Linked DNA regions of Arabidopsis thaliana. The protein of the gene in region 1 interacts with the protein of each later gene in a pairwise test. Each region holds a gene or a part of one and is shown on either strand. Other genes may lie near its edges.

Evidence for each region.
Region 2: the proteins of TET2 (region 1) and UTR3 interact in a protein complementation assay, tested with the Arabidopsis thaliana proteins (one large-scale study listed by BioGRID).
Region 3: the proteins of TET2 (region 1) and TH7 interact in a protein complementation assay, tested with the Arabidopsis thaliana proteins (one large-scale study listed by BioGRID).

The regions. Positions count from the first base shown.
Region 1 is NC_003071.7:8,473,126-8,476,886, reverse strand, and holds the start of TET2 (tetraspanin2), read left to right. Parts: upstream 1-1,733; 5' UTR 1,734-1,865; coding exon 1,866-2,059; intron 2,060-2,144; coding exon 2,145-2,451; exon of another isoform or gene 2,452-3,282; intron 3,283-3,761. Other genes in the region: ACO1 (ACC oxidase 1), read left to right, coding at 63-648. UniProt on the Arabidopsis thaliana protein: May be involved in the regulation of cell differentiation.
Region 2 is NC_003070.9:4,911,116-4,914,876, reverse strand, and holds the start of UTR3 (UDP-galactose transporter 3), read left to right. Parts: upstream 1-1,709; 5' UTR 1,710-1,847; coding exon 1,848-1,951; intron 1,952-2,140; coding exon 2,141-2,238; intron 2,239-2,333; coding exon 2,334-2,464; intron 2,465-2,578; coding exon 2,579-2,609; intron 2,610-2,694; coding exon 2,695-2,798; intron 2,799-2,890; coding exon 2,891-3,012; intron 3,013-3,109; coding exon 3,110-3,515; 3' UTR 3,516-3,761. UniProt on the Arabidopsis thaliana protein: Essential sugar transporter required for the transport of UDP-glucose from the cytoplasm into the Golgi and the endoplasmic reticulum. Essential for pollen development and involved in embryo sac progress.
Region 3 is NC_003070.9:21,951,941-21,955,073, reverse strand, and holds TH7 (thioredoxin H-type 7), read left to right. Parts: upstream 1-1,593; 5' UTR 1,594-1,681; coding exon 1,682-1,816; intron 1,817-1,979; coding exon 1,980-2,102; intron 2,103-2,183; coding exon 2,184-2,315; 3' UTR 2,316-2,477; downstream 2,478-3,133. Other genes in the region: AT1G59725 (DNAJ heat shock family protein), read right to left, coding at 2,864-3,133. UniProt on the Arabidopsis thaliana protein: Probable thiol-disulfide oxidoreductase that may be involved in the redox regulation of a number of cytosolic enzymes.

The DNA.
Region 1 (3,761 bases):
CCATTTTTACCTGTTTGCTTATTTAACTAAACAATGTGAGAGGGTGAAATTGATATTTGCAGCAAGACGATGGATGAATATGTTTGTCAACTGCACAAGTTTGCAGAGAGACTCTCCAAGCTCATGTGTGAGAATCTTGGTCTTGATCAGGAAGACATAATGAATGCCTTTTCTGGTCCAAAAGGTCCAGCTTTTGGAACAAAAGTGGCTAAATACCCAGAATGCCCACGTCCTGAGCTTATGAGAGGGCTGAGAGAACATACGGATGCTGGGGGAATCATATTACTCCTGCAGGATGATCAAGTGCCTGGTCTTGAGTTCTTTAAAGATGGGAAGTGGGTTCCTATACCGCCATCCAAGAACAATACCATTTTTGTCAATACCGGTGATCAACTAGAGATACTGAGTAATGGGAGGTACAAGAGTGTTGTTCACCGTGTAATGACAGTGAAGCATGGAAGTAGACTGTCGATTGCTACGTTTTACAATCCGGCTGGTGATGCCATAATATCTCCAGCTCCAAAGCTCTTGTATCCAAGTGGCTACCGTTTTCAAGACTACCTAAAGCTTTATTCAACTACCAAGTTTGGAGACAAAGGCCCCAGACTTGAGACCATGAAGAAAATGGGAAATGCGGATTCAGCCTAGGATGCATCTGGAATTTGACGCTTCTGTACTCACATCATAAAAACTTTGTCTTCTTCTTGTGTTTCCTTATAATTTAAATAACCAGCCATGTCAGAATCTTGCTGATTCAGCTATACTACTTCACTCTTCTTTCTTCACTTCCACTTGAAAAGTTCCAAAGCCAAACTGAAGCAGTCTCATCAAGCTCTGTGTCGAACTTGAGATTAGACAAAGAGCTTGTAATCTAAGCTCTAAGATTGACAGTCAATTTCATGATTTATAAGATGTAATTCAACTCTTAACGTAATCCACAACTCCGCCATCATCTCTTTCCATATTCTCTCTGATTTGACTCATTTCCTTCCCAATTCCTAGAATCAAACAAATAGCATTTCTATATCAGCATCTAAAACTGAAAGCTAAGTGTGTATTGACTCAAAATTCTTCTCCAATCGCAATAAAATCGAGATGAGAAAAATTCATCCATATGTTTTGGTTCACACATTCTATCGAGCAGCTTGTGTGCAATCCCAATCCTCTGAACCAAAACAAAAGCTTATCTCTTGACCATTACCCGACATTTCACTCATCAGCCAACGACAAATCCTGCTCCGAAACCTCTAATGCTTGGAAAAGAAGAAAATTCCGATTTCCGAACAATGGAACTTACTCCATTTTGCATTCTCTGTCGAAAGTAACATACGTTCAATGCAAATGACCCAAAGTCGTCGGTGCCACGTGGATAGTTCTCACTGGTTGATGCATTCGGTAACTCGCAGAATGGAAGAATATTAACACAAAAGGCATCTCGCGTATCCACGTGTCCCGTTCAAGATTCCAAATTCTAAACCAAAAGCCGGTCCGACCAGATTAACAAGTTCTCTTTATTACATCACAACCCAAAACTTGTTCAAAACCTAACTTTTCATTGCTAAACATATTTTATTCTGACATTCACATGTTAACTTTAATCCAATATCTAATTCTTTTTTCTTAAAACCACCGTTGTCGAAAAATCCAAATCAGCAAAATCAGTGATTAACCGGACCGGACCAAACCGAACATCGTTTTCTGTAAATAGCAGTAACTGGTTTCACACATCCCATCATCTCTAACCACCGACCTCATAAGTCATTAAGACAAAAACAGAGACACTCCTCTCACTCTCATTATTTCATTTTCTTTCCATAAAAAGCACGAATCTTCAAGAACAAAGAGAGAGAGAGAGAGAAAATTTAATGGCGTTAGCGAATAACTTAACGGCGATACTCAACTTACTAGCGTTACTCTGTTCCATACCAATAACGGCGTCAGGTATATGGCTAGCTTCAAAGCCAGACAACGAGTGTGTCAATCTCCTCCGTTGGCCCGTTGTCGTCCTCGGCGTTCTCATCCTCGTCGTCTCCGCCACAGGCTTCATCGGCGCCTACAAGTAAGAATCAAAGAACTTCAAGACTTTGAAAACATAGACACAAATTGAATCATAAAGATGTAAACTTTGAGCTCTCATATTTCAGGTACAAGGAAACTCTACTGGCGGTTTACTTGTGCTGTATGGCGATATTGATCGGACTTTTGCTGGTGGTTCTTATATTTGCATTCGTCGTGACCCGGCCCGATGGATCGTATCGGGTTCCGGGTAGAGGTTATAAAGAGTATAGGCTTGAAGGGTTCTCGAATTGGCTTAAGGAGAACGTTGTGGATTCCAAGAACTGGGGAAGGCTAAGGGCTTGTTTGGCTGATACTAATGTTTGTCCTAAACTCAACCAAGAATTCATCACCGCCGATCAGTTCTTCTCCTCCTCTAAGATCACTCCTCTCCAGGCATGTTCTTTCTTCTTTTATTCTCTTTTATAAAAAGAACCCCGAAATTTCTAGTTTCCGGTTTAGGTTTGGTTTAGAGGTAAATCTAGACTAAATATCGGTTATGCAACTATGCCAACGAATCATTGTGGGTTTAATTAGATATTATTAGATGATTAATGGAGATAAGATACGAAGTAAAGAGAATGTTTTGTAAAATCTCTAGATTATGTGAGACCTACGGTTTGTTCTTGCCATAGAAAGATAGGTTATTTTTTCTTTCAAAAAGTAAAGTATGTGGTTTTAAATCAAAAAGTTAAAAAATTTCTCTTTAGCTTTTGTGAAGATGTCCAAAAGAGAATTGTTCTTATTCTCTATATTCTTTTTTTTTGTTTTGCAGCTTTAAGTTATTTCGTTTTGGATTTCCTCATCTTTGAAAAAACTAAAAAAATATTTTCTGACTTAATTAATCTTATGTTTTCTAGTGTTGGAGAGAAACCTACATTAGCTTTCTTAACGTTTCGCAGTTAGTGCCATTTTGTGGTAAAACTCATAGATTAGGCATATGTAATCACCATTATTGAACACATATTTATTCCTAGTAGACTGGTGTAGAAGTTGCTGGAGACCAAGTCCACAAGATTATATAGTAAGATAGTCAGATTTCAAAATTATACACTATCATAAGGACCCACCCATGCACCCACAATATGGTACATGATAAACTATGTTTTATCTGTGTATTAATTATATTTTTCCTTTGTCACTATCTCACTCATAAAATTCAATGATCCCATTCACTTTAGATAGTGTTTTTCGTGATCACAACTCAAACTTGACAAAATTTCCTACTTTTTCTATTTAATTTTATTAATTAAAATCACTCTTAAAATTCATTGTCATGTCTTTTATGTCTTTTAAGCTTTAAACATGGAGAGATTAAGGGTGATTTAAATAATTTTATTCCTAAAACTTCTATAGCAAGTTGTCATCCTAGTCCATTGTCACTGTAACAAGATTGGAACCACTAATAATTAAATAAGCCTAGATGCTGAGGTCTCGACTGAATTTTAAATCTTTTAGTCATTAGACATTATTAAATATTGGACCAATGATTTGATTCAATAATTACGATCACAAGTCTTTGTCTCCATCATGAAACATAATAGATAATTATATCCCTCCCATGTTGCCCCACTCACATTATAATTTTTCTTATTGGATAAATTAGGACTCAAGAAAAAATAAGTTTATTTCTAAGAAAGAGTTATACAATTTCTCGTCCTCGAGACAGAACCAAAATTTACTCATAAGTAAAAGAAGATTATTCT
Region 2 (3,761 bases), on another chromosome or scaffold:
GAAGTTGTGGTTTTTGTTTGGTGTTTTTTTTAACTAATTATGGTCATGGTTGACGTCTGCTAAGGGACAACAAAGTGGTGGGTCTGGATCGCCCATATCGTTGAAATTTTGATCGATATTTTACAATAATACTTACTATCGTTCAGTCACAATTATTAGCGAGATTCCCCTTCAATCAAGATGTTAAGTGTTTACAACTTTTCTTTGGATGTTATATTTATGTTTAAGAAACTTTTACATACACTTCCAAATTATGAGAGATATCAAAACCTTAGAATAAAATTTGGTATTATGGACGATTTTATCTTTCTGAGACGTATTGGATTTACTATTAGATTATTGTGCATATGGCATGCATGCATTAGATATATATAGTCTTTCTTCGATAAATAAAAGTTTAGTCAATGGATGAATCAATCTTTATGTGTAGATCTTTTGTTGATCAACAGGTGATCAAGATTTAAAGGACCCGAAATTAGTTACGAAGTATTGTGGATTTTTCGCATTCTAGTTGACCAAATGAATAATTAAAGTATGAGATTCAACTCTTAAATAATATTTTTGTAAAATTAAGTTTTGAGTTAAGAGACAACGTTAAACCGTCATAATTTATGTGTGTTATATATATAATCGTCAAACCATGGTAAATAACTAAACGCATAGTAGACAAAAAATTTGTAATCATAGATGTAGACGACGGTAATCATCATTTAGATTTGAATTTTTAATGGAACGTGGTGGCTAACGTCGAATACATTTTTGGTGTATTTCTTAAATATAATATCCCATGCATTGACCCAAGAAACTACTTATTAATCAGTTAATCTATATTCACATTGTTATTGACCGGCAGATCGAAAGAGAGTTCTTTTTTCTTTTGCATATTGCATATCACGTGTGGACAAAAGCCCCATTTGGAATCTTTTATGATATTATATTGTTATGTTACACATTAATTTGTTATCTCACCAAGACTTCTATTTTCATTTTGTATCCGGTAAGAGTCACTCTTTTGAGTTTTGACTTTTGACTCTTCAAAATGTATAATTGGTTCTCCCATGAGGATTAAGTATGTCATATAAATTCCGTTTCCCAATATATATAACTTCTATTTTCATTGAGATATAGTATAATATTATTCGTATAGAAAATTACTCAAATCATAATGAACTATGCATGAGTGCATGCATGTGATACCTTGTTTTAATATAATGGAAATTCGATATTTCAAACTTTTCTCGCTATGTTGACGTTATTGTCACATTTACTTTAAGATATATCATATTTTGTTTTAGTAATCTTAACAATGGGTCATCACTAAATTTTAATCAATTAAATCATGTTGGCAACTTTCCTCCATTTGTGTATATACGCCTTTTTCTTTCATTTTCTTACCACAAGTGATCTTAGATTTGTATGAATTCATCAGTTAGTCAAACTGACATGATTAGCTGTGTGCAAGTTTGCTTAATCAAATTAAGGCCCAAGCTGTAAAAAGAACATCCGTTTACAAGTTCTAGGAAACTGCGTGACGTTTTCATGACAATAAAACGGCACATAGTTCCCATTCCTATCTCAGACATGAATGTGCATATGACTTGGATTCCAGAAATAAATCCACGTCCTATAGCCAATCAGAAGTGTCATGTCAGATTATTAAGCCAATGACACAGTTACACGTGGAAAATCTACGTCTTTCTCGCGCCTCCTACACTCTCTCTAATAACTTTCGTTTCCACTTCAGACCGATCTCATAATTTGATCGCAAAACTGATCAAATAGCGTAAAATTGAAATTCAAATTTTCGCCGGAGCTCCGTCGGATAAAACAATAAGCGACGTGCGGCGATGGAATCTCACGGTTCCGGTCTCCGGCGAGTTCTGTTATTGTCGTTCTGTGTCGCTGGGATCTGGGCAGCTTACATATACCAAGGCATTCTTCAAGAGACCTTGTAAGTAAAACTCGTTAGGGTCGAAATCGATCAATCTTATTTTAGCTCGTTGATTATTTTCTCTCGACATTGCTCGATTCTGTTTGTTCGAGATTGTTTCTATTCTCGGAATCCTGGTTGGTGATGCGTTTGCAATTATTGGAAATTTATAGAAATGTAGCTGATAGAACTCTAACATTTTCGAATTAGGTCGACGAAGAAATTTGGTGAAGATGGGAAGAGATTCGAGCATCTTGCATTTCTGAATTTGGCTCAGAATGTAATCTGCTTGGTTTGGTCTTATATAAGTGAGTAGGGCATCTTCATTGTTTATTCCTTAGAATTATAAGTTTATAACAGACGAATAAATGGAACTGAAGTATTTTTGATTGATTATGAGCAGTGATTAAGCTCTGGTCCAACGGAGGTTCTGGTGGAGCCCCATGGTGGACGTATTGGAGTGCTGGCATTACTAATACCATTGGTCCTGCTATGGGCATTGAAGCTTTAAAGTATATTAGTTACCCAGCTCAGGTAAATTAGGCATTGTTAGTGTAATAAAAACCTCATTTTTCTTGATTATGGTTGATAGTTGAGGTAATAACCTTTCTTGGGAAGTAATATTGATGCAAAACTTGCTTCTTGCAGGTCCTTGCAAAATCTTCCAAAATGATTCCAGGTGAGGTGTCAATTTAGAGCATCAATCCATAATCGCTCTCAACTGCTGCTATGTGTATCTTATATATGTTTTTTCTTTCATGTAGTTATGCTGATGGGCTCCTTAGTTTATGGCATAAGATACACTTTGCCTGAGTATCTTTGCACCTTTCTTGTTGCCGGAGGAGTATCTATGTTTGCCCTTCTTAAGGTAGGCAAATCTGCATTCAGGAACTTTGATCATAATCTTTGTTATACTTTGTCTGTGGAAATGTAGTAAACCGTCTTTGACTTGGTTTACAGACAAGCTCTAAAACCATCAGCAAGCTAGCACATCCCAATGCACCCCTTGGTTACGGGCTTTGCTTCTTAAACCTTGCCTTTGATGGATTCACAAACGCAACCCAGGATTCCATTACCGCAAGGTATGACTCTTGACATTCTGTCAGATACTTAACCCAGTCTGACATCTACAACATGGTCTAGATGTTGGACATTAATCATCGCCATACATGGATACAGGTACCCCAAAACTAACGCATGGGACATAATGCTGGGAATGAATTTATGGGGAACCATATACAACATGGTCTACATGTTTGGATTGCCACATGGGAGCGGATTTGAAGCTGTGCAGTTCTGCAAGCAACACCCTGAGGCAGCATGGGACATTCTTATGTACTGTTTATGCGGTGCAGTAGGCCAAAACTTCATCTTCTTGACAATAAGCAGATTCGGGTCTCTAGCTAACACGACCATAACCACAACCAGGAAGTTTGTAAGCATCGTGGTATCTTCAGTTTTGAGCGGGAATCCGTTATCTTCCAAACAATGGGGATGTGTGTCGATGGTGTTCGGTGGATTGTCTTACCAAATTTACCTGAAATGGAGGAAGCTGCAGAGAATGCAGAAGAAGAAAAAGGCCTGAAGCTGAGATTGGGGATCAAAATATTTAATTCTTCAAGAAAATTGTTTTTGATTTGGAAACTTTTTACTTCCAAATATGTCTGAAAGTTAGAGAGAAGAAAGCTTAGTCCATTAGCAAAATGTAAACTAATGCATTAGAAGAAACTTATATATATCAAACCAAAAGACAAATCATATATTTCCACTCATATATATTTGTCTTAACAATACAACAAACTCTTCCTTCTGAGTTTTTCATTTTTCCTAA
Region 3 (3,133 bases), on another chromosome or scaffold:
ATTCTTTAGATTGTGGAAAAACTTATATTAGAATCTTTATAGATCGAGCTAGGAATAAAGAAATATGTGGGTAGCAGAACTCATGCAACCTTTAAGAAAGTCATGTGTAATATTATCGATAAATTATGATTAAAAAATGAATAAATTCAAAGGCAAAATCTAAATTAAAAACGATTTTCTACACATGTTTAAATATCTAAACGTGATTAGTTTACTTTATGAATTACCAGTACAATAAATATTTGAGAATTCTTTTAAGTCTTAAACTACACAATTCCAAAATTCCAAATACAGTAAAAGTAAGGGAAAGAAAGTCTTAGGAAGGGTACTTACAAATTTAAGAAGTATTCCTTAATGTTTTCAGTTTTCTAAAAAACTTGTTGTATTTCTTTGATAACGCCTTCATATATATATATATATAATATATATATATGCATATTTTGATCCCAACATATATATATTTAATGTTTTATAAAGCATACTTTGATGCAACATTTCTACAAGTTTTTTTTAGTTCTTATAAAACAGTGGTGTTTCAATTTTATTAGAAATCAGACCAAAAAATGGTTTCAAATTAATATTTGCAAATCGAGATCTTAAACCCCAACAATATGTTCTAAAATTTAAGATATTCGAGCATCACCGAACTGTATTTTTGAATCAGCATTCCTAGTTCCTTGAGAATGAGAATTATAAGAGGATGATGTGAAAGTTTATGGGCAAAAAGTTAAAGATGATGTTCGTGGCTACGACGTGCATTTCTTGTCCCCCAGTATCGAATAAATTGTTAATTTCAAACTCATTTTCGACAATGATTCCTATAAGTACTGAAATGGAATAAGAAGGACCTTGAGGAAGAATTTGATGACAGCTTCTTTTTAACACAAATCAATATTCTTACACACGGACACACCAAACAACATTACAAATTTACAATGACATGCATGGTCATTTTGCAAATTTTTTTCTCGTTTTATTCTAATCTAATTTCGTTCTGTAAAGTTTTATGTAAATGTAAATTAAAGATTTCAGTAAAGACATAAGAGTATCACCATCAATTAGGAAAAAAATAAAAATGAGTTCTCATTAGAAACTCTCCTGCCATGTGACATTTTTATTTTTATAGTAATTAATAGCATTAATATTATATAGGTATTAGATCCTTGAAGTGGATGGTGCATATATTATTTAAACAAAACAAATTTTAACTACTTTTAATTTATAGCGTTGACAATAACTAATTAATCTAAACTAATAAATCAAGTACCTAGGCTACCATTTTTTAATTAGAAAATCGATCCGCCGCGGATTGTTATCCACCCACAAAAATAAAAAATTCGTTTGCAAATGTGATAGGCAAGCTAGTTCCTTGCAACCAGCTATATTTTTATGTAGTGGAGAATATTTAACAACTAACTGGAATTTTAAAAACACAAAGCGAAACTAAATTGGTATAAGCTATATATTCTTGAAAAAATAAAAAAATCAACGGCTAGAACTAAAGAAGGATAGCAAATTGAATCATATTCCTTTGCATTTACTTATTTATTTATAACCAACAAATTAAGTTCTCCGATTAAAAGCTATATAATGCTCCTCCTTGTCTCTCTTCTTTGCATATCAGTATATCACTAGCAAATAAGTGAACACCATTTCTTCATACATACACATTCCGAAGATAATGGGTTCCAATGTTTCATCTGTGCATGATGTTCATTCATCAATGGAAATTACCAGTAATGGATTTGTTGTGGAAATCGAATCAAGAAGACAATGGAAATCTCTCTTTGATTCCATGAAAGGCTCAAACAAATTGGTATACATTACTCGAAAACTACCTAAAACGTATTAAATTTTTTTAACCAAACTTATAATGTTTGTTTTAAATCTTATACTATTTGTGTTTTCTAATTTTGTTTACAAGTAAATGACATGTTTTTTCTCTTAAACTAACTGAAAAAATTATTGTGGTTTTGAAGCTAGTAATTGATTTCACAGCTGTATGGTGTGGACCTTGTAAAGCAATGGAACCTAGAGTTAGGGAGATTGCTTCAAAGTACTCAGAAGCTGTGTTTGCTAGGGTTGATGTGGATAGGCTAATGGTAATTACTCTTTTTTTTTATTACTTGAAGAAGAATCATCTTATGGTTTCAAGACTAAGCTATAATTGGTATGTATTCCAGGATGTGGCTGGGACATATAGAGCTATTACACTTCCAGCTTTTGTTTTTGTGAAGAGAGGAGAAGAGATTGATAGGGTTGTTGGAGCCAAACCTGATGAGCTCGTGAAGAAGATTGAACAACATAGGGTTTAAGTTTTTTCTTTTCCCTTACAAAAAAATGATTATTATACTTTTGAATGTCTGTTCTGAATTGATTGTTTGAAGTTGGGTTTCTGGTTTGTTGTTTAATTTCTCAAAACAATATAAATAATAATGTCAAAAATGAAAACAATTAACAAAAATGTTGTAGTTATATTTGTATGAAATCTAATCACCCCAACGTAAGCAAAACAACATAACAATGGTAATGTGAGTATGGCGACTAAAAGAACTATACCATAAAAAAAAAAAAAAAAGAGTCCCATTCCAAGTATATGTTAAAATACTAAATGGAAAAAAACAAACGTTACATAACATTTTCGAAGAGCTTGTATGAAGTTGAGAGTTACATATATAACTTATGAAAGCAGAATAAATTAGATAACAACAAAGATAGCTTTTACAACAAAAAACAATCAATTCTGCTTACTATTTCGTGATCAAGATATGAGATCAAAAACGAAAACCGATCAATTCTGTATATGTATGTACACTGAATTGACCTTTTGAATTCAAGAGCTTTCTTGAAACTAGTTGCCAATTCAGCTACCACCAAGAACTCTCTTGAGATCTGTCTTCTGTTCCGATGTTAGCCTCGAGGGGAAACATATCTCAAAGTTGATTCTTAGATCTCCTCTCTTTGAACCTTCTTTAGAGATGGGCATTCCTTCACTAGGAATCACTATCTCCTGACCCGGTTTAACGATATCCAAAACCGGGATAGTCAGATTCCTCCCGTCTAGTGTTGTTAAGCTAAGAGTGATCCCTGTTAAAGCCTCCAAAAGCGAAACTTTCTTGTCTACAATAAGATC